7 linked regions of the Ovis aries genome follow. The protein of the gene in region 6 interacts with the protein of the main gene of each other region in a pairwise test. Links are inferred from orthologs where the notes say so. Each region holds a gene or a part of one and is shown on either strand. Other genes may lie near its edges. The genes, in order: MYOT, GMEB1, TCAP, CKM, TNNT1, TRIM63 and MYBPC3.

What was found.
Region 1: the proteins of TRIM63 (region 6) and MYOT interact in a two-hybrid assay, tested with the Homo sapiens proteins (2 studies listed by BioGRID). The link is inferred for Ovis aries from reciprocal best matches to the Homo sapiens genes TRIM63 and MYOT.
Region 2: the proteins of TRIM63 (region 6) and GMEB1 interact in a two-hybrid assay, tested with the Homo sapiens proteins (2 studies listed by BioGRID and IntAct). The link is inferred for Ovis aries from reciprocal best matches to the Homo sapiens genes TRIM63 and GMEB1.
Region 3: the proteins of TRIM63 (region 6) and TCAP interact in a two-hybrid assay, tested with the Homo sapiens proteins (3 studies listed by BioGRID and IntAct). The link is inferred for Ovis aries from reciprocal best matches to the Homo sapiens genes TRIM63 and TCAP.
Region 4: the proteins of TRIM63 (region 6) and CKM interact in a two-hybrid assay, tested with the Homo sapiens proteins (2 studies listed by BioGRID). The link is inferred for Ovis aries from reciprocal best matches to the Homo sapiens genes TRIM63 and CKM.
Region 5: the proteins of TRIM63 (region 6) and TNNT1 interact in a two-hybrid assay, tested with the Homo sapiens proteins (2 studies listed by BioGRID and IntAct). The link is inferred for Ovis aries from reciprocal best matches to the Homo sapiens genes TRIM63 and TNNT1.
Region 7: the proteins of TRIM63 (region 6) and MYBPC3 interact in a two-hybrid assay, tested with the Homo sapiens proteins (2 studies listed by BioGRID and IntAct). The link is inferred for Ovis aries from reciprocal best matches to the Homo sapiens genes TRIM63 and MYBPC3.

What each region holds. Positions count from the first base shown.
Region 1 is NC_056058.1:46,995,438-46,999,570, forward strand, and holds the start of MYOT (myotilin), read left to right. Parts: upstream 1-1,333; 5' UTR 1,334-1,425; intron 1,426-3,980; 5' UTR 3,981-4,133. UniProt on the Homo sapiens protein: Component of a complex of multiple actin cross-linking proteins. Involved in the control of myofibril assembly and stability at the Z lines in muscle cells.
Region 2 is NC_056055.1:238,529,968-238,534,172, reverse strand, and holds the start of GMEB1 (glucocorticoid modulatory element-binding protein 1), read left to right. Parts: upstream 1-1,405; 5' UTR 1,406-1,465; intron 1,466-1,677; exon of another isoform or gene 1,678-4,205. UniProt on the Homo sapiens protein: Trans-acting factor that binds to glucocorticoid modulatory elements (GME) present in the TAT (tyrosine aminotransferase) promoter and increases sensitivity to low concentrations of glucocorticoids. Also binds to the transferrin receptor promoter.
Region 3 is NC_056064.1:39,784,825-39,788,001, reverse strand, and holds TCAP (telethonin), read right to left. Parts: upstream 1,718-3,177; 5' UTR 1,698-1,717; coding exon 1,588-1,697; intron 1,356-1,587; coding exon 962-1,355; 3' UTR 501-961; downstream 1-500. UniProt on the Homo sapiens protein: Muscle assembly regulating factor. Mediates the antiparallel assembly of titin (TTN) molecules at the sarcomeric Z-disk.
Region 4 is NC_056067.1:52,741,457-52,744,879, forward strand, and holds the end of CKM (creatine kinase M-type), read right to left. Parts: intron 2,248-3,423; coding exon 2,124-2,247; intron 1,706-2,123; coding exon 1,516-1,705; intron 1,011-1,515; coding exon 832-1,010; 3' UTR 501-831; downstream 1-500. UniProt on the Homo sapiens protein: Reversibly catalyzes the transfer of phosphate between ATP and various phosphogens (e.g. creatine phosphate).
Region 5 is NC_056067.1:63,060,610-63,064,109, forward strand, and holds part of TNNT1 (troponin T, slow skeletal muscle), read left to right. Parts: intron 1-1,181; coding exon 1,182-1,295; intron 1,296-1,448; coding exon 1,449-1,558; intron 1,559-3,500. UniProt on the Homo sapiens protein: Troponin T is the tropomyosin-binding subunit of troponin, the thin filament regulatory complex which confers calcium-sensitivity to striated muscle actomyosin ATPase activity.
Region 6 is NC_056055.1:240,758,646-240,762,671, reverse strand, and holds the start of TRIM63 (E3 ubiquitin-protein ligase TRIM63), read right to left. Parts: upstream 2,801-4,026; 5' UTR 2,666-2,800; coding exon 2,507-2,665; intron 1,394-2,506; coding exon 1,221-1,393; intron 1-1,220. UniProt on the Homo sapiens protein: E3 ubiquitin ligase. Mediates the ubiquitination and subsequent proteasomal degradation of CKM, GMEB1 and HIBADH.
Region 7 is NC_056068.1:76,112,156-76,115,655, forward strand, and holds part of MYBPC3 (myosin-binding protein C, cardiac-type), read right to left. Parts: intron 3,307-3,500; coding exon 3,200-3,306; intron 3,116-3,199; coding exon 3,086-3,115; intron 2,214-3,085; coding exon 2,074-2,213; intron 1,874-2,073; coding exon 1,793-1,873; intron 1,172-1,792; coding exon 1,012-1,171; intron 702-1,011; coding exon 597-701; intron 501-596; coding exon 312-500; intron 1-311. UniProt on the Homo sapiens protein: Thick filament-associated protein located in the crossbridge region of vertebrate striated muscle a bands. In vitro it binds MHC, F-actin and native thin filaments, and modifies the activity of actin-activated myosin ATPase.

The sequences.
Region 1 (4,133 bases), on a different chromosome or scaffold from region 6:
TTAAGTGGCTCATTTGTGCTCAATTATCTATTTGTTGGACCCTGATGTACACAGCAATTACATCAAGGCTGGAGTATCCATGAGGGTTGTTGTTCAGTCACTCAGTCATGTCCAACACTTTGTGACCCCACGGACTGCAGCACGCCAGGCTTCCCTGTCCATCACCATCTCCCAGAGCATGTTCAAACTCATGTCCATTGAATCAGTGACGCCAACCAACTATCTCATCCTCTGTTGTCCCCTTCTCCTACTGCCCTGTCTTTCCCAGCATCAGGGCCTTTTCTAAGACCATGAGGGAGGGGAATAAATAATTATGTTTTAAACAACAGAATCATACCAGAGCTAAAGCCACTAAATATGGATAATTCCAATTGATTAGCCTGATCCTCATGTCACCTACCCCTCTCTACCACCTCTTGTTGATCTGAAGCTTTCTTCATAATTTTATACTTCTCTGCATACACACACACACACACACACACACACACACACACACACACATGGAAACATAAAAGGCTAAGATGGTCTCCTTGGTGAAAAGAGAAAGGAAACTGTGTTACTATAAGGAGTAAGGAAGATAAAGAGAGCTAGAGGACAGGGCCCTAATTGTAAACACTGCTTGATGGGTAGTTTCTTAAGTGTTTCAACTCTTTTAGAATAAAAGTATAAAGGTATAAGGTCAATAAAAGTATAAGGTCAAGGATCTGTATGCCATACAGATTCAGAGAACTTGCTATACAGACCAAATCGTGTTTTTCCACTTCCCCACCTTCCCAGTGACATGACACCATCATTCTGCTCTTGCCTTTGCCTAGACACACTCCCTCTCTTGAAACAAACTGCTTGAATCCCACTCCACCTCTCCTTCCATTTGGCAAGAGAGGAAAAAAAGAGGTCTTCATATGAATAGCTATCTAACAGAAATCAATTTGAAGCCCATCCATCAGTGGTCTTATTTCTGGAGAAGTCTTAGTAGTCAGGTGTCAGTCTTAGAATACTATTTCCCTTTCAGTCCTTTTTTCAACAAGGAAGATCAAAGCCCCCATCACAAAAAAAAAATGAGTTTTCTCTACACCTTTTCCCATTTCTCAGTTCTTTGCTGTCCCCCCTACATGTGCTTGCTAAAGCTCCTAGTCAAAGTTCACATCTAAAATAAAGAGGCTTGCAAGAGAAGCTCATGTAATCCCACTCCTTAAATATCACTAAGACATCTGAGATATTGTTTATCGTGGACTCTTACTTTGACATGCCAGCATAGGTAGATGGACAGGCAAGCACATCAGATGTCACTGCTTGGCAGCTGATAAAAGTCAGTGGTGCTATAATACTAAGCACAGAGCCACTAGATTAGTCTGCGAAGGAAGGGGATGCCTCTTCCTTCCCTTTAGTAGTAGGTTTAACCCAGCTGGCACTCTCTGGACTCGGGTAAGTCCCTTCTTTATTCCTGCTTCAGTTTTGGGTTTTGTTTTTGTCTTTTGTCCAAATCAGAACAGTATGTAAAAGGTGATTTTCAGATAAAAAGTTCAAAAGCCACAAGATCATAATGGCATTATACAAAGATTTGAAAAGAATGAGACCTGTTCATTCCACTGAAACTATAAGGCATTAAAAAAGGTAGAAGGAAAGATAGTTGTGTGTCATTATTTTTCAATCATCAGTTTTCTTTGAAAAAGGACACCTGGCCTAACTGTAACTGTGCAATGTTCTATAGCTTCAAAATATCCTCAGTTTTCTGTTTAAGTTTGTGGTATATTAGAGATAGGGGGAAAAGTTAAGATTTTTCTAAACAGGAGAGTTAATAGAACTTTACTAATAAAATCTCTGAAATTTATTTAACATTATTTGGAATAAAATGATACTGTCATAAAACAAGGATTATAGAACTGATTGTTGAACAGTAACTACAAACACAAAGAAAAACCTTCCAGAGTTATCTGCATGAACATCTGTACAAAATTTTCTTCAGACATGAAAATGAAACATTTGAAAGAATATATTTTAATTGAATTTTTTTAAAAATAACAGTAATTGTTAACTATGTAAGCTGATATCAAAATGTACAAGACAGTTGACATTCTAAAAATACACGTAAAGTAAAACAGGGAACTTTCTGGAAAATATCTACTGGCTATTTGTTTAACAGTTTATTCCTTGCTATTTGAAATTAATCTGAATGATCTGTCAGCCCAAAAAGGAATTTAGAATCAAACACTGGATTCAATTCTGCAATGGAGTAAACCCATAGTATAAAACTACTTGCCTTCAAATAGTCTCTTTTTTTAAGAGTATCTAATTAAAGCCTCCTTTTGGATGTTTTTCTCCAGTAATTTCAAGGCTTAATAATAGTTAATTACTAAAATGCACCCTAGTTGAATGTGCTTGTGTTCATAAATTCAAAATTAAGAAATATATGACTTTTCAAGTGCCTTTTTCAATAGAATCTTTCTCTTGGCTGTTTAGTTGCATTTTTTGTTCTTTCCTAAAACTGTTTAACTCTAAACTATACATACAACCTGAAAATCAAGTTGATGGGTTTAGAAATTTTTCACTAAAAATGATACTTTATTCAAGAGAGGACATTAAATAATTATAAGACTATGATTCAATGATGACAATTTGGTAATTTTACTAGCTAAAAGTTTGATTTATCATTACCTCAGTGTTGGTTTATACTATATGAAGCAAACTAAACATATTCTGAACTAAATTACTTGATATTTTGAATAATAACAGAATCCATGTTAAAACAATTTATGGGGCTAGTCTTTTTGTGTGAAGTATATATATAGTCCTTCCCAGATTTACCATACTAATGGAAAAAATCAGGTGAAAATATGTCTTTGAGGCTGATTTTAGTGGCAAATGATCCATCAAAGGAAAAATGGGGACCTACTGTCAAAAGTCAGGAGTGCCAATGCACTGTTAAGTAAGAAAAATGGCAACCACCTTTTCCTGGAAAAGTATAGGCTAGCTTCAAAGCTGCCTTAATTCCTTCTGTACATCCTGTTTGCCACTTCACAAGAAAAAAATAATACAGGAATGAAAGCAATTTCAAAATTTAGTCTAAAATACATACTAAACACAAAAATAATTTAAAGTGAAACCAAATAATCAAGAGAACAGCAAGACCAATAACTAGATAATAAAATCAAAAAATAACAAAAACTACAAAGGGTTCTGGAATACAGTAACTTATATACATACAGAGATACTTGAAAGCAGTCACTCCTTAATTATCATCTAGTTTGGTACTATGGTCAATTGGGAATCAAAGGGAGAAAAAGAGGCAGTGAATTATAAGGTAAAACGAAATCCACTCATGGTTGACAACAGTGAAGTACAGGCGTTTGCTGTACTTTGTGAAATTGTAAAAGGATGAAGGAGCAAATATGAACAGTAATGTTCTTTAGAAAAGCAGCACACTGCTCGCCTGGATTCACCATGTGATTCATCACAGATCACCAAGGCATGAATTAATGGTGCATCAGAAGAGCTGTTCATTGGTATTGATGAGCAATGGGAAGAATTCAAACTGAATAGAAGCTAATATATTTAACTGTTAATAACTTTAAATCAGTAACTCTCTGTGGCTAATGAAACTGCAGGCTTTTGTCAAAAGCTAAATATGAAATAAAATTATCACACTGAGCAACATCACAAATTTTTTTTTCATCAACAAACACTTGGCGAACTCAAAATCAAAACTTTTCCTACATCTTGAAGCCCCCAGGTGTGCTTGAAGAATCACCCAGAGGCAAACAAACACTAATGAATTATTTTTTCTTATTCCCAAGTGGAAGTCATTTGTGCAAAGGCAACGCATAAAGGAATGGAAAGTCTATAAGCCAGAAAAGTTCCACCTTGAGATGACTTTGAAAGTACATAAGCTTTAAGAAAAAAAAGCACATAAACTCCTAAAGATCTTAAACAGTACCATTTTTATGTAAATACTGTAACTGAATCACTTTCTTCTTTTGAAGGAACAATATTCTTCAAGAGAAGGCCACTCCATCAAAGCCAGGAGCACTGTATTCCCAGGATCTCAACAAGGAGGCACAGACCAAGGTCGCTTCTGATTCACTGCAACCTTCTGTAATTCCAGGCTTGCAGACCCAGATTCAAGACCCCACCCC
Region 2 (4,205 bases), about 2.2 Mb from region 6:
AGCCTTGACTAGATGGACCGTTTTTGGCAAGGTTATGTCTCTGCTTTTGAATATGCTGTCTAGGTTGATCATAACTTTTCTTCCAAGGAGTAAGCTTCTTTTAATTTCATGGCTGCAGTCACCATCTGCAGTGATGAGCTTTGATAACCAAGCCTAGAATCCAGGTTGTCTAGCCCCCAAATCCTTTTCTATTGTCTGACTCCTGGGCTGCCTCGCCTGTTCTTGAACCAAGAGCCTGTAAAACTTCCTGTTACTTCCTCATGATACAGAACAGAGATGTGAGTCGTAAGAGCAGGCAAGATGGGGAAGCAACTCTTTCCCCCCAACTCAAAAAAGTGCCTGCATACCACCACCTCATTCATTCTTAATAAAGGTAGCAACCATCTGAGTGCTCATAACTACACATTCCACAGAAAGAAGGACCTATAGAATCCTGGCTATACTGCTTACAAGTTTGGTGACCTTGAGGGGTTCATTAATTTCTCTTGGCCTCCTGTGTTTTATCTGTAAAATGGGAGTGAAAAGAAACTACTTAGTAGAGTTGCCAAGAGGATTATATGAGATAAAGGAATCTTCTTCAAGGTCCGGCCAAACAAAGGTCTTCATTTTTTTTTTTAAGCTAATTTTATTTATTAGCAGAACAGATCTTATTTCCCTGACCAGAATCAAACCTGTTCCCCTCGGCCCCCCTCTTGGAAGCAAGGAGTTTTAACTAGTGGACCTATAGGGAAATTCCCACAAAGGTCTTAATATTTGCTAATTATTACGACTGGCCCCAGGAACTTTCCTAAGCATTTTCAAGTATCACTTGTTTAAACGCTAGTAACAATCTATGTCCTAGACGAAATAGGGGCTTAAAGCTGTCAAGTAACCCCCAAAGAATTTATGGGTTCTGACTTGAACCCAGAACCAACTCGCAGCCAGAAAAGGCTTGGCAAACATGCATGCGTCAGAGAGGGCAAAGGAGTTTGCTTACAGACTCTATACACAACCAGATCTTTTGACTCCAAACTGGTAGTTGGATCATCACTTTTGAAAAGTCTGGTAAATGTAAGCTTCATAACCGGATCTGAGGAATGAAAGGGGGCACGCAGAGTCCTCCAAGGGGAGTCCTGCCTTTGTTCCCGATTGCGGATGAGGTGTCTTTAATTTAGACCACGTTTTCCTCATCCATGAAGTGGGGTTAGAAGAGTTATTAGGGTCCCTGGCGTCCCTACCAACACTAATTTTCCAGAGCAGGAGCTGCTCTGATAAAGGCCCCAAACTCTCCGGCTGAAGTTCATCCTCCGCGGGCTGGCAATAGGGACGCGTCCCCTTTAAGGCTCCAGCTCGCCGGCGGCGGCGGCCGGAAGTGTTGAAGCCCGGCCTGGCGGCGGCGGTGGCGGTAGCGGCCGTGGCGGCCTCTGCGCATGCTCCGTCGCCCGCCCGCCCTGGCCGCTCGCCGCCCGCCCGCCCGACGGAGACGGTGAGGAGGGGGAGGGGTGGGCGCTCGGGCGCGGGCGCGGGGTGGGGTGGGGGCGGGGGGGCGGGCGCGGGGGCCGCGCGGCGGCCGGCGAGGGCGGGCGGGCGCGCAGGGGGCGGGGGGCTGCTGCCTCCGCGGGCGCCTCCCCACGCCCTGTGCGTGCCGCCGCCGCCGCCGGGGAGCGAGCGGACGTCGCGGCGCCGCGGGGGGGTGGGGGGACGCTGCCGCTGGGTCCGCCTGAGCAGCCGGGCCGCCCCCAGCGCGGCTGGCCGCGCCGCTCGGGTCCGGCCCCCGGCCGAGAGCGGCGGGGGGCCGGCGAGCCTGGCACTGGGGGGCCCCGGCGCCTCCGGACCGAGGGGCCCGGAAGTCCTCTGCCGAGGGACCAGGAAGGGCCGGAGCGACTCCGGACTGAGAGGCCCTGACATCTGGGACCCCGGGGAGGGGTCTGGGGATCCAGGGGGTATCCCTAAAGGCGGGATCCGGGGAGCACCAGGCCCTTTGATGAGGAGCTGGGGATGAGGCCTGGGTCGCGCTCGGGCTAGGGGGTAGTGGTGAAAGGAGGGGGCGGCGAAGAGTGAAGGAAGCCCGCTGCCTGCCCTGGAGGACCTCTCGGAGCCTTGGGGTTGGCAGCCAGGGCAGACAGTGGGTTCTGCTGAGGAAAAGAGTGTCCAGGCTTCACCGGGGGCGCCTAGAGGCCTCGGCCATTCAGCCCAGGGGAAAAGAGGCAGGTGCTTCCCTGAAGGCACAGTGACAGGTCCAGTAAGCAGGGGACAAGGAAGAAGAGCTCCAAGGGAAATTGAGCAGGCCTCTACCTTCTCCTAGATGAGGGGGCGGTAGGAAGACACCTCAGAGCCTCCAGAGGAAGGAATGAGAAGGGTCCAGATCTGTGAGGGAATAAAAGAGTTTGGAGTACCTCATATAGGTAGAGAGCAGGGTGATGTGGCCTGTTGTGGATGGGGAAACCTGAGTTTTTGAGGGCCGGAGAGATGATTGTTGGGAAGAAGGCTAGCATATCCCTGCTTTCTAAAATGACGGGGGAATCGGCCTGGTGTTTCCTAATTGAGGGGCAGGAGAGGTGAGAGCAGACTCTTGAGGGTCCTGGCGTGTGATCCATCCGGACTAAGACACGTCAAGTCTTGATCATGGGAAGCTTTGGCTGTCTTAAGGAGGAGGAGGAGGCATTCTCTCAAGATGAGAGAAATTCAAAAACAGTTCCTAACAGACACAAACAGGGGCCTTAACTCTTGTTTATTTAGGAGAACCAAGAAGTGGCATTTTCCTCCTTAACCTGGAGGATTAAGGAAAGAGAGGATCAGCTAATTTTAGTCTCACAGGATTCTTTTCTCTCTCTTTGCTTATGGAACGTTTGGGGAACTTTTTCATTAAATTGTTGGACTGACCTAATTTTTCAGCCTTTTATCAATTATGTGTATTTATTGTCTACTGACGACTTTTTTCATTAGTTACCTGTTAGTTGCTTACTCGTGTTTACAGCAAGCATATTGAATAGCCAACTTGTACTCAGCTTCATGGGGTTAGTTTGGGCTGTGTTCTTGTCCTAAGAAGAAATCTGCTCAACTGTAGTAGGTTGACCCTTCAAAAAACCCTTTTTGCAATTGCTTCTCCAAACACCTTCAGAGTAGTCACTATTAAGTGATTCATCTGAAACTTCACTTGCTCCGGCTTTTTACCTCAGTGGTCCTGTGTAGTGATCTGTTGGCTTCCTTACATCTGGTAGTGCCCTAGATCACCTAGGGAGTTACCATGAAACAGAATAAAGAAGGGAAAAAAAGGAGTTTTGACCTCATGTAATAATAAAATTTTTAAGTTGGAAATTTCTTAGAATAGGCTACATAGTCTACCACAATTAAAGTATGAAACAAATACATTTTGGAGTTAGAAAATTTCAGGATATATGGTATTTCTATGACTCCCTCTCAGCTACCAACTGTCATGTTCCTATGATCATGTGACACTTGTGCTTACATCTATCTTGCCGTGTTTTTTAAACTTTTCAGAACACAAAAATGAATTTAATCCAGAGTAGTTCAGCTATCATTGATTTAATATTTTGATAGTTTACGTGAATAGTCATGTAGTTAATCTCAAGGTGTCTGTCTTGTCTTTGAAAATAACTACAAATAATTCTTCCTTTTCTCAGAAGTTTGACATATTTCCCTTATGTGTGTTCTCCTAGAATTACAGAGTGTTGTGTGATTCCACAATGAATACTCCAAGGTCCCATCCATGAAATACCCAAAGGAGCAACTTACTCATCTTCCCTTAGTTTTTGTTGCTATAAACAAGAGCCACTTTTCAATTTACACTCAGCTCAAAGAAATGACCTTCCAATTAGCCAGTGTAGTCTGTAGAGGTGGTTAGGGTTTCTTGCTCAAAATATGGTATTTAGGGTAGTAAGAGATATTCAACCCAAACTTGCTTCTCTGAGGAATGTAAGAATTGCCATGTGGGATCAGACCTGTGTCTCTGACTGACAATGAGAGACTTACTGTGGATGATTATAATTATCTTTTCTGGTAAACTCTCAGAAGGTTAGAGAAGCAGCCATAATATTGCTTTTGAGTTCCAAGGTGTGGGAGGGGTAAGAAGTAAAATACGAGTTCTTATTGAGGAAAGTATTAATCAAGAAGTTAGTCAACCACTTATTCAGAGTATTGTAGAAAGAGGACTCAACCTTAGGGTAGAAGGTTGAACTAGAAGCATCCTTCTAATTTTGCTTTTC
Region 3 (3,177 bases), on a different chromosome or scaffold from region 6:
ACTGCAACAGCTGCAGAGGTCACAGACAGGAACCTGACCCTCTACACACTCACCCTACCCCCAACAACCCACCTTGGGCTCCCAGGCCACGGAGGGTGGAACACCTGACCCCAGCCAAGGATTGATTCTGTCTGGATTCAGAACCAAGAGACCTGGGGTCACTGACCCCATCCACACCCTGGCACAGCTGACAGTCCTGGTGCCAGCCCCCTCCTTATTCTCCATGAGATCATTTCAATAAACTCTGGATGCCAACTGGCCTCCTGGGCACTGCACAGTGCCAGAGGACTAGAGGCAGAGGCCAGGGCTCACGGCAGTCAGGGGGACTAGGCAGATAGCCACCCTGTTTACAGCTCTGTCCCTACAGCCCCTCCCCTCAAGCATGGGGTGACCCACTAATTCTGCCATATTTAGCTGAGATGCAGGGCCTGTTCCCAGAAGTGAGCACTGGGGGGGACACCAATGGGTGGGCCCCTCAACCACAAGGAAAGAGACGAAACTCTGGCACGTGATTGAGCATTTATTGCAGCACTAACAGAGGGTGCTGGGGGCTCCACCCTGCCTCTGCCCTCTTCACGTCCCCCTCCCTCCAGTCTCCTTCCCAGAGCACTCCAGATCCTCTTACAGTTTTTCTTCATCCTTTTCTGAAGCTGAAATCTGGACTGGGGTTACTCCTCTCAGGAACCTCTTGCCCTCATCAGCTTCTTCAGCCCTTCCTCCTAGGGCTGGGGGTACTTGGCTGTGCTGGCCCCCAGCTCTTCACCTTTTGTGCCCATCGTCCGCTCCCCTCCCTCCGGGAACTCAGGAGATCCAGGCATCCTGGCCTCTGGCTCCCTCCTCCCCTAGCCCCCAACTCTGGGCAAACTACGAAGCATCCGTGACCAGCAGCTCCCCTCCATGGTCCTAGCCAGGAAGGGCCCAGCCCAGGGCAGGCACAGTGGAGCCCAAGTCACAGTCCCTCTCAGCCTCTCTGTGCTTCCTGAGACATGGAGCGAGACAGGGAGCGACGAAGGGTGCCGGGCTTGCTGACAGGCACCACGGGAGGCAGCTGCTTGGTGATCTCGGCCACGTCCTGGCGGTCCACACACTGGCCTCCCAGGGCTGTTTCCAGTGCCAGCAGCTCCTGCAGCTGGATGGGTGTCTCCTCGCGCTCCTCCTTGGTGGCGCCCACCTTGGCGGGAGTGAAGATGGGCAGAGGCAGCACCCGCTGGTAGGGCAGCTGGTATTCCTGCAGCCCACGGCCGAGGATGCCCATCCGCATCACCAGCCAGGGGGAACGCTGCACCAGCGCCTGGCACTGCCCCTGCCGGTGGTAGGTCTCATGGCGCTGGGCATCCTCCTCATGCAGGGAGCAACTGGGAAGGAGAAGCGGAGGGACACTCAGCCCCTGAGAGCTGCTGCCCGCCACTCACCGGCGGGGCGACAGAGCTCCCTGGGGCTGCTGGAGGGGCGACTCCACTTTCCCCAGCAGGCACCCTCCTGGGCCCCACCCCCAGAACCCCTCAGGCCTTGTGCTCTGGTCTCCTGAGTCTCAGGAAGGGTGCTCTGAGGGAGAGGACGGGGCACTCCTGACTGGCCAGCACTCACCCCTCCTCAGGCCTTGTGGACAGCGTCAGATCCTTCCACTCCGCCCAGAAGGCCTCTCGGCGCTCACAGTTCTCCTCCGACAGCTGGCAGCTCAGCTCTGAAGTGGCCATGATGGCTGCTCACTCCCTCTGGGCTCTCCTCCTCCCAGGCCCTTTAAATATCCCCCTCCTCCCCCTCTTTCAGGGGCTATTTTCAGCCCCTCTGGCGTCAGATGCTATAAGCAGAGCCAAGACTCACTGATGGGGGACTCTGAGCCCAGGGCGGGGCTGGGGGGGGGGTACCCGGATTCTGGCTGCCCCCAGGTCAGAGGTCAGCTTCTGAGGAGATCAAGATGCTCCCGTGGGGGCGGGGGTCCCCAGAGTGACACCTCCAGGTGTCTGACACTCCTCAAGACACTACCCATGACCAGGCACATGCCCAGCCTCGTGCCACCTTGGCACTTGCCGTCTGCCCCACCCCTTCCCCTCGCCCAGGGAGGACATGTCTGTAAACAGAGCGGGAAACAGTAGGAACCAAGGGCCCCTCTGGGCGCTGTACCAGGCCGTCAGGTCCTGTCCCCGCTGCTCTCCTCTGCCTGGGCTCAAGGGCACATCACCCCCTGGACCGTGCCCCCCCACCAAAAGGGACAGTGCCATTCCTCAGGCGTCTGCCCCCAAAGGCCTGGCTCCCAACTGCCACCACCTCACTGGCAAGGGCATCGGAAGTTAATTCCACCCCTGGGATCCTGGACACGAACGAGGAGGGAAGCGGCCCCCGACTCTACCCCACTCCTCAGCTGGGGTGAGATGGGACTCCAGCGGTTCCAGTGGGTGGCAGCCAGTTCTGGCTCCAGCCCCCAAATCAGCCATAATGAGGCTGTGGAGTAGGGGGCGGCATCCACCCCCTCTGGGCCTCGTTTTCCTCACTTTCTGTTCACAGTGGCCTTACCAGAAGAGCTCTGGGGGCTGCCAGCTCCAAGGTGCCACCAGGCGGGGCCTGGCTCTGGTCCCCAGGGAGCAGGCCAGTTGAAGGGCTTGCAGGGACAGCCCCGCCCCCCAGAGCAGCAGTGTGTGCGACAGGAGGCTGGCACACAGGGAGGAGGGCGTGGGGGAGGAGCAGCGGGGGTGTCACTGAGTGGACAAAGCAAAGGGCACCAGGAAGGCCAGGGGCAGAGGCTGTGATGAGACCCTAGCAGGCAGGCCCGTGGGCACCCTCTTGATTACTGAGCACTATACCCGATCCTTGGTGCCTTCATCTTACACAGCTTTAGCAAAGTGGGAAATGGAGGCTCAGGCAGGCAGACCTGCCCGGGGTCACATGCCTAGCCGGGCCCAAGAGGCAACACCCCCACCCCTGAGTCTATGCAAGTTAGCACCTCAGGAAGCCTGCAGGGAGGGAAGGAGGGCCATTTCCTGGTGGTCCCAAGTGTGACGGGCAGAGAGAGGAGGTGAGCAGAGCCCAGAGGTGCCTCAGTGACCCAGAAGCCCAGGCCTCGCCTCCAGGCTCCTCCCAGCCAAACCTTCAGACCCCAGTATCAGCTGAGGCCTACTCTGGCTCCTTCCAGGTCTCCCCCTACCTCCCGCCTCCCCATCCTGGGCTGGAGACCTTAAC
Region 4 (3,423 bases), on a different chromosome or scaffold from region 6:
GAAGTAGGTAGTGATGAGATGCATGCAAGGTCTCAAACCAGAGGCCCGGAGGGCAAATTCAGATATTTTGTTTGACGTCCGTTTCTCCCTAGAATGGGTCCTGTGTTTGAGATCTGAGCATGAGTGATCAGGAGCAGAGGTGACTGAGAGCTCTCGGGACCGCAGATTCCCCATAGAGCCTTGTAATGTTTTCATTAGATGCTGTACCCTGAACTTGCCTCATTTTAAAGATGGGAAAAGATGAGAAGGGAACAGCTACCCACTCCAGTACTCTTGCCTGGAGAATTCCACCGACAGAAGAGCCAGGAGGGCTACAGTTCATGGGGTCGCAAAGAGTCAGACACGACTGAGCGACTAACGCTTTCACTTTAGAGATGGGATAAAACGTGTAGCCCTAAGACGTGCCTAGAGACGACAAGCCGCTTTGAGGTCACACAGTAGCCAACTGCCGAAGTTTTTTCTCCTTCTCCTTCAGTACTAATAACAATCAAACCGAACGCTAAGGCCACCATTGCGTTTATTTGTTGCTTAGAGTGGAGAAAAAGCAACAGCTCAAGGTGAGCTCCGTTAGCCAGAGCTCCTGATGGTGGGCGGAGCTTTGAGAAAAAAAAAAAAAGGAGACCGTAAGGGAGGTTTTTCATTGGCCAGAACCCAGAGACTGGAGCCCATTGGTTGGAACTCTGGTTGGAACTGGAACTAGAAGGATAGATAGAGCCCCAGGTGGACCAAACGTTTATAGGCTGGGCTCCAGGAGGAAGGGGCGGGCCTCCGGTGGGCTGGGTCCTCCCTTAGGGTGGGGCTCCAGCAGTCGGCGGCGGGCTGGCTGTGCGCCTACTTCTGGGCGGGGATCATGTCGTCGATGGACTGGCCCTTCTCCAGCTTCTTCTCCATCTCCACCATGAGCTTCACACCATCCACCACCAGCTGCACCTGTTCTACCTCGGACGAGCCCAGCCGGTCGGCGTTGGACACGTCGAACACTGAGCCCACGGCAGCCGTGTCCACACCACCTGCGGGAGTAGGAGGCAGGGGCTAAGGAGCCGGCAGAAATGCTTGAGCGGGGCCTGGAACGCGGGCCGCCGTGCCAACCGCGCAGGCGGACGTCCTGGGTGAATGCCTACTGTGTTAAATTCATGCAGTTTCCTGAGCGTCTGTCTATTCTCGGGCTGGCTTTAGGTATCTCACCCCTCAAACATCCAACACTGTGGGTAACGGAGTTGAGCTCAGGAGCCGGGCTGCCTGGGGTCGAATCCTGACCATCTTCCCCTTTACAGATGGGAAAGTGAGGCCCCTAGGCGCCCAGGGACATACACAGTGTATATTAACCATATAACCATGATGGTATATGGACTTCTCTGAGATAAGGCGTGCTGAAGCCTATTTTCAGAGGAAGGACTGAAACTCACAGAGGAGCAGCCCTTGCCGCCCCCCAGAACCCGTGGGGATGCCCCCGCTTCCCTTCAGCCATCGCTAAGGGCCAGCGCTGGAAGCCGCAGGAGGGAACTTGGGCCGTACCTGTGCCTCGCTTCTGCAGGCGCAGGCGAGTGAGGATCTCCTCGAACTTGGGATGCTTGCTCAAGTGCGCCAACTTGACATGCACGCCTCCCCGCAGCCCGGTGCCCAGGTTAGATGGGCAGGTGAGCACGTAGCCCAGGTGCTCGTTCCACATGAACGGGTGGCCGGCCTTCTTGAATATCTCCTCAATCTGAGGTAGGGGGAGAGGACCCGGGATCAGCCCTGTGGGTGCCCCCAAATGCACCCACAACCGGGGCAGGGCTCCGAGGGACAGGGGGTGAGAATGTCAGTGGTGGTAGGACTCCGAGAGGGCGGGTCTGGAAAACCTGGAGACACGAGATTCTTGGGGCAGGGGCCCGACCGCACAAGTGATGGCTGGATTCTGACGGGGCTGGGCTTGAGGATGCCTTGAAGGCCGGTTCTTGTCCGCGGGGCTTGAGGATAGGGGTGGGGCCGGTTTTCCAAAGGGCGGGGCTTTGGAAAGCGAGGGAGGAGCACCGCTGAGGGGAGTGGCTTCGGTGCGGGGAGGAGCCGGGTTCCGAGGGGCGGGGCCCGGGAAAGCGGCTGGGGGGGCGGTCACTTGGAGTCACACGAGGGCGGGCACCCACCTTCTGCAGCCCCACGCAGAAGCGGCGGAAAACCTCCTTCATGTTGCCCCCCTTCTCCATGGAGATGACTCGGAGGTGGTCCTCCTCGTTCACCCACACCAGGAAGCTCTTGTTGTCATTGTGCCTAGCATCGGGCGCAGCAAAAGGTCAGGGAACCAGCTCCGCGGGAACCCGGTTCCCCTCCCTCTTGCAAACACACGGCCACCGCTAGGGGGCAGCGGGCCTAAAGGGCCCGAGGCCTGAGCATCTCAGTCTCAGGAGCTTACACCTTTAAATGTCACAGGACCCGTGAAATCTTGAATCGTGGGATCAGTGGCTTTCAGGGTCTTAATTCTTTGCACAATATTATAGAATCTTAGAATATCAGAATCGCTGAAAAACGGAAACCGAGAATCAGAGTTGATAAACCTTCCATGACATTGTGGCATCGCAGAAGGAGTCTTAGACTGGAAAACTTTAGGATCTGGAAATGTTTGAAACCATTGAATCACAAAATCTGACATTAGTGGAACCTGAAAACACTTAAAATTTTACAACCTATACTCTCCAAATTGTTTGAAACCGAGGTTCTCAAAACCTTTTAAAACCTTTGACTATCAGAATGAAGGCGGGGGCATTTTCCCTGATAGGTCAGTTGGTAAAGAATACGCCTGCAATGCAAGAGACCCAGGTTAGATTCCTGGGTCGGGAGGATCCTCTGGAGAAGGGATAGGCTACCCACTCCAGTATTCCTGGGCTTCCCTTGTGGCTCAGCTGGTAAAGAATCCGCCTACAATGTGGGAGACCTGGGGTTCTGTCCCTGGGTTGGGAAGATCCCCTGGAGAAGGGAAAAGCTACCCACTCTAGTAGTCTGGCCTGGAGAATTCCAGTCCATAGGGTCACAAAGAGTGGACACGAATGAGGAACTTTCACTTTCATCAGAATCAGGGATTAAAAAATTACTAGAAAGCCCAGCTAACAACAATAATTAGCAATAAATATCATGCCAATGGCCAGTATGGATACTTACTATATACCAGACACTTTTCTCAACACTTTGCATAAATTAGTTCATTAATCCTCATAAGAACCCCAAGAGCTATGGATTATCACGATCCCATTTTATAGATGGAGATTTGGGGCAGAGAAACATTAAATTACGTGCCCAAGATCACACAGCTAGTAAATGGCAGCCCTGGGATTTGAACCTAAGGAGTCTGGTTCAAATCTGAATTTCAAGCTTTTTAAAATGTGACATGCAGACCACAGGGAAGGCAGGAGCGGAGGGCAAGATGACCCTGGAGAATTGCTGTAGTGGTCT
Region 5 (3,500 bases), on a different chromosome or scaffold from region 6:
AGGAAGCGCAGATTCTTAGCCACTGGACCACCAGGGAAGTCCCTCAAACCACTTTTAAAGAACAGAAATTGGGTGCTGTGGTAGACAAAGCACTGGTCTCCCGGAGGAAGGGGACCTGAGCCAAGGGATGCAGGCAGCCCTGAGAAGCTGGAAAAGGCAAGGGAGTGACTCTCCCCTCACGGCCCTAGAAGGAGGCTGTGTGCCCCGTGGCTTATCCCCCGAGACCCACTGCAGGCTGACCTGCAGAAATACAAGGTGATAAACTGACATTGCTTTAAGCCACTGTGTTTGCAGATTACAGCAGTGAGAGGAAGCTCATTCAGGTGGGGAATTATGGGCAAGCCCCACACCTTGCCTGTCCCTCCAGTGGGGAAGGGCTTTGGTCGGGGCGAGCCTCTAATTCTGTACAATGCAGACTTTCCGGATGTGGTCACGCCTCAGTGAAGGCATTCTGGAGCCCCTTCCTCAGGCTCTTGACTCTGCGCCCTCCCCGACTCCCATGACCAGTTACCCTCTTTGCCTCTCTGAGGACAGTTGTTCTCCTCTCATGAGACTAACGGAGAGTGAGTCTCAGAGAGGGCAGGTACCTATACATAGGTCACACAGCAAGATCACCGCTGGCCACTGCAGGCTGGAGCATGCAGAGAAAAGCAAGCATATCCCCACCCCCACCCCCACCGCCGACCCCGCCAGGTTAAGTTTTCCTGGGGGCAGGGGCAGCATATTAAGGCTCGGAGAAGATGAAGAACTGGCCGGTGGTCACACACCCAGGCCTGAAAGGGGCAGGAGGAAGTGTTTGCATCCTTGTCTGTTCTGATATTGACCTTGTCTCTCATGAGCTTCCCTGGTGGCTCAGATGGCAAAGAATCTACCTACAATGTAGGAGGCCGTGGTTTGATCCCTGGGTTGGGAACATCTCCTGGAGAAGAGAATGGCAACCCATCCAGTGTTCTTCCTTGGAGAATCCCATGGACAGAGGAGCCTGGAGGGCTACAGTTCACGGGGCTGCAGAGAGTCGGACATGACTGAAGCGACTAACACTCACTTTCTCATGCTTGAGTCTGATCGACCCCTGATTCACTCAGTGCAGAATCGGCCTCCCTGACGCCCCCTCAGGCGCCCTCCCCTCTCAGTCCAGCAGGGTGGGGGAGGCCCAGGGATGAACCCCGTTCTTTCCACAGGAGGAGAAGATGCGGAAGGAAGAGGAAGAGGCCAAGAAGCGGGCCGAGGACGACGCCAAGAAGAAGAAGGTTCTGTCCAACATGGGTGCCCATTTTGGGGGTTACCTGGTCAAGGTGAGTTCAGCCTGCTGGGGCCTGAGGTCTGGGGTCCCGGGGGAGGCAGCTGGGGTCTGAGGAGGAGAGGCTGGGGGCCTGGACCCCCGGGTCTGAGGGGGAGGGGCTGGGGAGCCACCCCCCCACCTCATGGTGCCCCCTTCCCACCCTCAGGCAGAACAGAAGCGAGGGAAGCGCCAGACGGGGCGGGAGATGAAAGTGCGTATCCTGTCTGAGCGTAAAAAGCCTCTGAACATCGACCACATGGGAGAAGAGCAGCTCCGGTAGGCGGGAGGGGCCCGGGTGGCAGACAGGCAGATGGGCGGCCCCTGGCCCAGGTCTGAGTGGGCGGAGGCCCCGGCGCTGTGTCGCTGTGCAGGCGTCTCCCCCTCTCTGGGCCATTCCCCTGTGGAGTGTCACTGATGTAGGACCTATGTTTTTGGTGCCAAGACCTATAGAATCTGGGAGATGATAGGAAACCAGACCACAGGGCTGACCAAAACTGAGGCGATAATGTTGTTTTGATGGTGTCCCTTGGGAATTCCAAGTGGGCTCCATCTTCTGCCTGAATTAAAGCCAGACACACTGGCAACAACTTCCCAGGCAAACCTTTTCTGGTGGGAGCTCCGTCTCTCCCTTCACAGCTCACTCGGGGCACAGCCTGCCTGTCAGGATAAGCCCTCAGAGGGAAGGCCAGGGAGGGTTTTCCCTGGGGGGCCTCCTCTGTGTCTGAAGCGCCCAGGCACGCCCCTTAAAGTCAGAAACACCTGCCACCCCAGAGGCGGCGAAGCGAGGGGACTTGGAGCTCAGTACTGGAGACTGCTTGCCCGGGGTCAGCGCCGGCTCCGCCGCTTAAGCTATGTGATCTGAGGCAGTTGTTGACCTCCGCTGAGCCTTGCTTTCCTCACTGGTAAAAGGAGGCTGTGATAACAGTCTACATCACAGAGCAGAGCAGTGTCAGCGAGCAGTAGCCCCGTGTGGAGGGCTTGCAGCTCCGTGAGGTAGATACCATTATACTATTATCCCCTCAGGCTGGAGATAACAAACCAGAACATTAAAGCAACCAACAAACAAAAAAGGGCACAGAGGGGTTAAAGAACCTTTCCAGGGTTGCACAGCTTGCAGGCACAAGAGTGGGGATTGGAACCCAGGAAGTCTGGGGTGGTAGTCTGTGTTCTTCATCCCGTATTTACGAAGAGGCATGGTGGCTCAGACAGTAAAGCATCTGTCTACAGTGCAGGAGACCTGGGTTTGATCCCTGGGTTGGGAAGATCCCCTGGAGAAGGAAATGGCAATCCACTCCAGTACTATTGCCTGGAAAATCCCATGGACAGAGGAGCCTGGTAGGCTACAGTCCATGCGGTCGCGAAGAGTCGGATATGACTGAGCGACTTCACTTTCACTATGATGGTAAATGCTTCCCAAGTGGGTCTCCAGAGGCTAAAAGTCCACATCTCAGCGTCTGCTCATTTCCATGGTGTAAATGCTCCCAGGACGCTGATTTCAGACCCCTGCACTCAGAGTTGGAGATGGATATTCAGAGTCGACTCCAGCCCCCTCCCTCCCAGGAAACATCGCGGGGCCTGGACTAAATAGTGTGTCGAGAATGTTCCTTTTTTTCTCCGCTCTCCACCCTACACCACACGTCTGCTCCTTGTTTGGGTCCGCTGATATTTTTGGAGGATGTCAAGTTACTTAAGTTTTATTTATTCAATAGAGAGCATATGATGGTCTAGAAAAATTTAAAATAAAATACACCACAGAAGAGAGAGCATTTGAAAACCATTAGCTGGCAAAAGAAAACCATTAACTGGAAAAAGAAGACACAGAATACTAGTAAGAATAAAAAGAGTCGTAACAACTAGCTTATCAAGTGTTTACTGTGCGCCAGGCACTTTATACCTGTTCTCTCATCCTCTAATGGCTCAAGGCAGTAGACTTTTTTGTCAGTTCAGAATAAGCTTAGCCTTTGATAACTGAGATCCGACTATAGCAGCCTAAAACATAGAGGTTTGTTTCCTTACGTAGAAGAGATTTGTAGTCCACAGAGGGTGTGGCAATTCTACAAAACAATGAAAGACTCAGCCCCCTATTTTTCTGCTCCACTACTTTTACTCCAACATCCATTTTCCAAATCACTTCGTGGTCCAACGTGGCTGCTGGCGCTCCAGCCAGCACATCCAAGCAGCAGAAAGAAATTGCAAGGCAAGACCCACAAAGGCTCAC
Region 6 (4,026 bases):
TGTTGAACTCCGGCAACATGAGAGGCAGTAGCAGTTAAGAATGTTCACCACGGAGTCGGTCAGACAGGCTCCTTCTCAGCTTCGCCACTTGCTAGCTGAGTGGCCTCGGACAGACCTCTGAGTCTCCGTTTTCTCATCAGAAAATGAGGGTAAAAATGGCTTAAAGGATTACTGTGAGAATTAAAATGGGGATAATGCATGGAAAATGCTTAGTGCAGCACCGCACACAGTGGATGCTCAATAAATACTTGCCATCTTGAACACTTCCCATCAACATCCTATTTGATAGTCATAATAGCAACTCTTACTGTCCGTTTCTGGAGACAGAGGAAATAGAGGCCCAGAGACTCACCCAAGACCCTACAGTGCGTGAGTAGCAGAGTCAGAGTAGAGGACACAGTTCTCTGGTTGGAGCTTTCTCAGACAAGCACTAGTCTGTCGGCTTTTGGGGGCACAGGACACTGCCTGCAAGCACGTATTTGGTGAGGGTGTGGGACCGCAAGGGCCGTGAGGGCAGCAGCCTCTTGTCAGGACGTGCTGATCAGTAAAGATCTCCTTGGTAGCTTTATCTCTCCCCAACACGGCACAACCTCCACCAGGCACACATTCTGCCCAAGAACGAGTGGCTATTTCACATTCAGGGAGAGCTGGAGCTAGATGGGTTGTGCTGGGTCCCAGCAATTCTCCTTCTCAGCTGCGAAACTCTGGGTAAGTGATTTTACCTTTTTGAGCCCCAGCTTCCTCCTCCATGAAACAGGGATGATGAAAGCCCTGCTAATGCATAGAACTGCTGTGAAGCAGCAGCAGGAAGCATTCCTGGTGTTTGGCACTGCTGTTATCATTATAGAGAAACTGGCTTTGTTCTCACTGAACGCTTTCTCTGCTCATCAGGGCCACCTATCTGGCCCAGTGGCTCCCTCTCCCTCACTCTCCCTCTCACATCTCATCTGTCCCCTGATTTTGTTCTCAGTATCTCCTAGGAGGACAGCCTAATGTCTGGGTCCCCTGCCACTCACTGGATGACACCGAGAGCCAGGGCTGGGGGATAAGATGAGCCTCTGTTCATGCCTAAGGGAGACAGCTGTCTGGACTAACTGGCATAGCTCTTCCAGCTAGGGGCCTGGATCCAGAGCAGGTGAAGGAGGATGGGGCTCCGAAGCGCTGGACTCCCAGGATGGGCCGGGGCAGGCTGACGGCCTCCCCGTGGAGGGAGCACTGACCTGGAGCACTCCTGTTTGTAGATGTCAATGATGTTCTCCACCAGCAGATTCCGCTGCAGGCCGTACACTCCGTGGCGGTCCATGATCACCTCGTGGCGGCAGGAGGGGCAGCGGAAACGGCCTCCAGACATGGCCGCTGAGCCAACCCGGCCGGTCCAGTAGGGATTGGCAGCCTGCTGGCGACAGGGGTGGAGGTGAGGCCGGGGCTCCCCCTCAGCTCCTTCCCTTTCTGAGCTCCGACTGTCTTCCCCATTGATTACCACCACCATTCTCATCAAACCACATGACTTAAAGCTTCCCTCGGCTCAGACCGGTAAACAGCCTGCCTGTAGCGCCAGAGACCGGGGTTCGATCCCTGGGTTGGGAAGATCCCCTGGAGAAGGAAATGGCAACCTACTCCAGTACTCCTGCCTGGAGAATCCCATGGATGGAGGAGCCTGGCAGGCTACCGTCCATGGGGTTGCAGAGTTAGTCATAACTGAGCAACTTCACTTTCTTTCCTAATATGAGAGAGGCAGCCCACTTACACAGGGAGTACCTGAGAAGCAACTAAGGAATCAACAGGTTTGGAGGTCAGCAGACCGAGGCTCAAGGCAGAGTAATTCTCGGAATGACTTTGGGTGAGCAACCTTTTCTCACCAAGCCTCAGTTTGTCCATTCATGAAATGGGCATGTAATTAGAGCCAGCTCTTAGAGTTGCTACTTTAAAGAAAAAATAGAGACCATTCTGTAAAGTGCTTCTGGGGAAATTTGAGGCCTGTCTCTCAGCCAGTATGGACACCCACTCCCATTCTTTTCTTAAGGAGATGAAGCCCCTCCTGCTCCCCATTATAGGAAACAGTTTCAAGGGGAAGATGCCTCTACTGTCCAGTGCCTCTCAGCCACCCTCCTCCTAAAGATCTGGGCCCCCTGCCACCGCGGAGCTGGCTCCAGCCCCTGGGGTCTGGTTTCTCTCTCCTTTCTGCCTGCCTCTCCCACTTATCACTTGAGGCATTTGACTCCTGATTGGAGAGTCAACTGTGGTGCTCAGGACAGGGTGGGGTAGCTGCAGGCAGGGTGGGGAGGGGACAAGTGCGTCATGGAGAAGGAATGGGTCAGCCAGAGCCACCTCCCCAGCCCCATCGACCCCTTCCAGAGACTTCGGCAGGGGTTCACTGTGAGGGGGTTAAAAACAAGTCCAGTTTGGAAGGGTTCTGGACTAAGAGAGAAGTTTTCTTTTAGCTTTCATCACAGGAAGACTAAGTAGCTGCCTGGAGCCCCAGTTCTACGCCAGGCCCAGCACTGACCTGGAAGATGTCGTTGGCACACTTCCGGCAGAGGTTGTGCTGACACGGCAAGATGACCACCGGCTTGGTAAACATCTCCAGGCAGATGGGGCAGATCAGCTGCTTCTCCAGGTTCTCCATGGGGTTTCCATCCTGGATCAGGCTCGACTTATAATCCATGTTGTCCTGGGGACAGATGTGGGGACCCACCTGGCTGCCTCCTTCACCTGCCTTGCTCTGAGCAGACCTGGGGGTCTTTGTCACAGAATACCCGCCTGGAGCCTCTTTGCCTTCTTCTCCTGGCGCCTAAATTCTGCCTTGGTCTGAGGCCCCTCTGATATTTATAGCTGGGCCCTGGTCACATGAGCCCCAGGAGGAGACCAGCTGAACATTCCGGTGCCAAGTGGCTGGCGAAGCTTGAGTTTCCGCCAGGCCTGAAAGACCAACCCTCTCAGATCACATGTAAGGATGAGCAGTCGCTGTTCCCTCAGGACGGGGGTCGTAAACAAGAACAGCTTGTTCGTGGGCAGGCTTGGGGCAGGACTGGTACCCAGAGTTTCCTCCAAAAATTAGTCTCCTCCTACAGCAGGCTGGTAAGGAGTGAGGGGGCCACTGGGATTTGTGGGGTTAACAGCCAGTGCCCTCTTACTGACCTAAATAAATCCATCCCCTTCTCTGGAGTCCTGGGCAACTCCCCAGATAAGGCCTACCCCTGAGCACAGCACACTGCTAAAGACCCTGAGATGTCCCCAACCAGGGCTAGCCCATCCCTCCATTCCTTGGCCGCTAATTCCATATTTTTTCTTTTTTTCTTTCTGGATCGCATGTAGGATCTTAGTTCCTCAACCAGGAATCGAACCCACACCCTTTGCAGTGGAAGTGTAGAGTCTTAACCTCTGGACCTCCAGGGAAGTCCCTAATTCCATTTCAATACAAGGGTTCCTTCCCTTGGTACAGAGTCTGTTTCCTCATTTTATAGATTTTGACACTGAAGTTTACGAAGGAAAGGATCTTATTCAAAGTAATCTGGGAAGTAAGTGGCAAAGCCACAAATCTTATTCATTCATCAGACACCGAGCGACTAAACAACAGTGACAATCTATACATCAGGCAACAAAGTGAGAGATAAATGAGGAAGCCTTTTCCCTGCCCTGAGAAACTCACAGGCTAGGAAGGGAGACAGACACAAATAACTGTCATGGAGTGCCCCGAAGGACCATGTACCCACTTAGACATTATCCAAATATTCCCCTCTGCTTTCCGCACCAATTTAAAATTTTCTCCACATCCTTCTGGACCATCTTCCATGTCGGCTGGTAGAAGTTGTTGTTCAGAGGCAAAGTCAGACTCTTTGCGATCCTGTGCACTGCAGCACGTCAGGCTTCCCTGTCCTTCACTATCTCCCAGAATTTGCTCAAACTCATGTCCATTGAGTCAGTGATACCATCCAACCATCTCATCCTCTGTCACCCACTTCTTCTCCTGCCCTCAATCTTTCCCATCATCAGGGTCTTTTCCAATGAGTCAGTTCTTCGAATCAG
Region 7 (3,500 bases), on a different chromosome or scaffold from region 6:
GGGAACAGGAGAAAGAAACATCTACGCCAGATGCTGCCCCTGCGCGCTCTCACTTCATCTTAACAGCAGTTCTGTGAAGCAGACATCGTCATCACCCCCACTTCACAGATGCGAAAAGTGAGGCTGGAGAGGTGAGTCTCAGCTCCACCCCCTGCCAGCTGGGCTCCCCAAGCAAGTCATTTACTTCTCAGAGCCTCCCTTCCTTCACCTGTGAGATGACGGGAATGAAGGAAGACGAGGGGTGTGGACGCAGCCCACAGGGCAGCTGTGGGTACTGCGCCCTGGCCGTGGCGGCCTGGGGCAGGGCTCACCGATGGGCATGAAGGGCTGGGAGGCGGGGCTGGGCCTGGACATGCCCACGGCGTTGACTGCGTAGACCCGCATCTCGTAGATCACGCCCTCGATCATGCGCCGCGCCTCGTGGCTCAGCTCCCGCAGCAGGTCAAAGTTCAGCCGCATCCACCGGTAGCTCTTCTTCTTCTTGCGCTCCAGGATGTACCCTGAAAGGGGAGGCAGGCACGCTGGTCTGCCTGCAGCTCAGCCCACCCCCGTCCCACGTGCCCCGCCCAGGGCTCGGTCCCATGCCCTCAGCTCACCCAGGACCGGCTGCCCGCCATCGTAGGCTGGTGGCTCCCAGCGCACCGTGCACGAGTCCTCGCCCACCTTGCTGATCTCAGGAGCCGCGGGAGCATCTGGCACATCTAGGGGAGTGGACCCTCATGTGCTCTGCCTAGCCGGGGCCACCGGTGCCCATCCCCTCACCACCCTAACCAACAGGCTCCCCCGTGCCCCCACAGCCTAACACCACCTTTACAGAATGCGGTTCTCATCAGGTCACCAGCCTGCAATCAACCCGCTATGGCTCCCCACTGCCTGTGTGCCCCCAGGTCCAAGTCCCAACCCGGTCTACGGATCTGAGAGGGGCCCGCGACGTCTGCTGAGACACTAAAGGACTGAACAGACCGGTCCTCCCTGGTTCCCTCCGTGCTCTCCCCTGGACCCCCGCCTCACCGATGACCTTGACCGTGAGGCTGACTTGGTCCTCCCCGACAGGGTTCTTCACTGTGACCACGTAGACGCCCTCGTCCTCCTGCTCAGCCCCCTCGACGGTGAAGATGCTGCGGTCCTTGGTGGTCTCCACTCGGACCCGGCCCTCTGTCTCACACAGCAGCTGGTGGGGGAGAAGTTGGTGGGGGGTACTCAAGTCAGACCCCAGGGGTTCCTGCAGCCTCTGCAGCCACCGACAGCCCTGAGGTGGGCACGGAGCTCAGCCCGGGTCTGCTGGGGAGGCACAGCCTGAGTGGAAACTGCATCGTGTGAGCATCTAATCCAAGACCCTTTCCCACCACCTGCCCGGAGCACGGCCCTCGCTTTGTCACAGAAGGTCAGGCAGTCACCTGTCCTCTCCATCCTCAGTTTCCCTTTCTGACCTAAAGGACCTCACACAATTACTGTGAGGATCTCAAAAGACCTCAGCTGGGCAGCGGAAGCAGCAGCGTGGAGGAGGAGGAAAAGCCAGGAGCGGTGCCCCGGCCGCGAATCCAACCGGATAGGGCCAGGGACCCACTCCCCCGCGGGGAGGGAGCACAAAGTCAAGGCGGCCTCAGGAAGACAAGAGCCAGCAAGCCCCCAAATCCGGAGGACTTCCTGGGGTGTGGAGGGTGGAGACCCTGCCTGGGGCAGGAACACAGCTGGCTCGATGGGGCACCTCAGCAGAGACCTCGCCTGAGGGTGGACACCACGTGGACAGAAACTCACTGCAGGCAAACGAGCCTCCTCCAGCCTCACTCACCTTCTTGTCAAACACCCACTCGTCACCGGCACCTGATTCCTCTGATGCATCGGGGGCTGGTCCTGCTGCGACCTTATTCCCCTGGAAACAGGACGGGAAGGAAGGAGGGAGGGAGGAGGAGGAAGGTCTGGTTTGGCCTGGAGGGAACCCGGCCAAGCACCCTGTCCTTGTCTCTGCCCACCCTCGGCCAGCTGTAAGGCATGCGCAGGTGGGGTGGGCAGCATGCTGGGCCCATGCACCCACTTTACAGACAGGAGCATGGGGGGAGGGGTCCACAGTACCTTTGTGATGGTCTTCTGCCAAATTACAGTGGGAGCAGGGTCCCCGGATATAGGGACATCCAGGCGTAGCTTGTTCCCGGCCACCACCACGATGGTGTCCGGCACGCGGCCTGGGCAGTCCAGGTGGATCTTGGGAGGTTCTGGCAGGGAGATAGGACAGGTCAGAGAAAGAAGAAAAGGGCCCCAGGCCTCTGAAAGAAGGGGCAACTGGAAGAAGCACATGCCCTGGGTGCTGGTTTATTTTCTGAATTGATTTTATCGAGGTATAGTTTGCATACAATCAAACGCCAACACTTGAGCACCCTGCTTAACGAGTGCTGATGAACATGCCCCCATGTAACCACTGCCCATCAACACCTGCCCAGGAAGCCCCAGGGAGGTTCAGAACACTGGGTCACCTAGGACAGCATTTCTCAGATTGTGTTTGGGGGAACACCAGTGTCTTCCTAGAAAAAAAAAATTTCCATGGAAAATATTTAAGAAACCCTGGGTTAAACCAAGTTGAGTAGGACTTTTCAGAGCCTTTGACGTGCCAATGCACTTTTCGAATCAACAAGCAGTAGACAGACGGACGGTTCAGAGTTTCTCAAACTTAATGAACCCTGTTTGGAAAGCCCTGACCTGGAGCCTGCCTCAGCCTGGATGAGTCTCCTGAAGTTAAGATCCTAAAATGCCTGATTACAGTTTAACCTAAATGCAGGAGAAGTACTTCTAAAAGCAAAAAAGATTCAATAATAAAACCCCACAACTGTGATGTCCTCTGCAAGCTCACACATACCACCTTAGGTCAGCGTTCCTATCACCCCATTGGGGAGCCACTTCAGGGTCCCCATTTTAGAGGTGAGGACACTGAGGCTGAGATAGACCACAGCTGGCCTGTGGTCAGAGTGGCAGAGCTGAGGCTGGGCCTCAGGCTGAGCCAGGTCCCGACTCCCAGCTCCTTGCTTCTGCTGAGTGGAGAGGAGACCCTGGCGGGGTGGGGGGAGGCAGCAAGCCGGGGCCCAAGACTCACCCTGCCTGGGCACGAAGTCAATCTTGACCTCTGCAAGAGACAGAAGAGCAAGTGGCACCAGGGTGCAGGCCAGGCCCAGCTGCAGGGGCCCCTCTGCCCCTCACACCGGCTCACCCATGAAGTGGAGCTTGGCAGACAGGTTACAGGCGAAGCCTTCCGGCACAAAGCTGTAGTCCGCCTCATCTGCAGGCGTGACGTCATCAATGGTCAGCTTGTGGACCCTAGAGGGCAGTGGTGGCTCAAGGGACCCTGCTGGGCCACGCACCCCTTGCCTCACCAGACACCCCAGCCAGGGCTCCAGGGAGCTCTTGCCCTGCCCTGGCTCAATGGTGTGCAGAGTGTTTTCTCAGACCTCCCTGGTGGTCCAGTGGTTAGGAATTCACCGGCCAACGCAGGGGACATGGATTCGACCCCT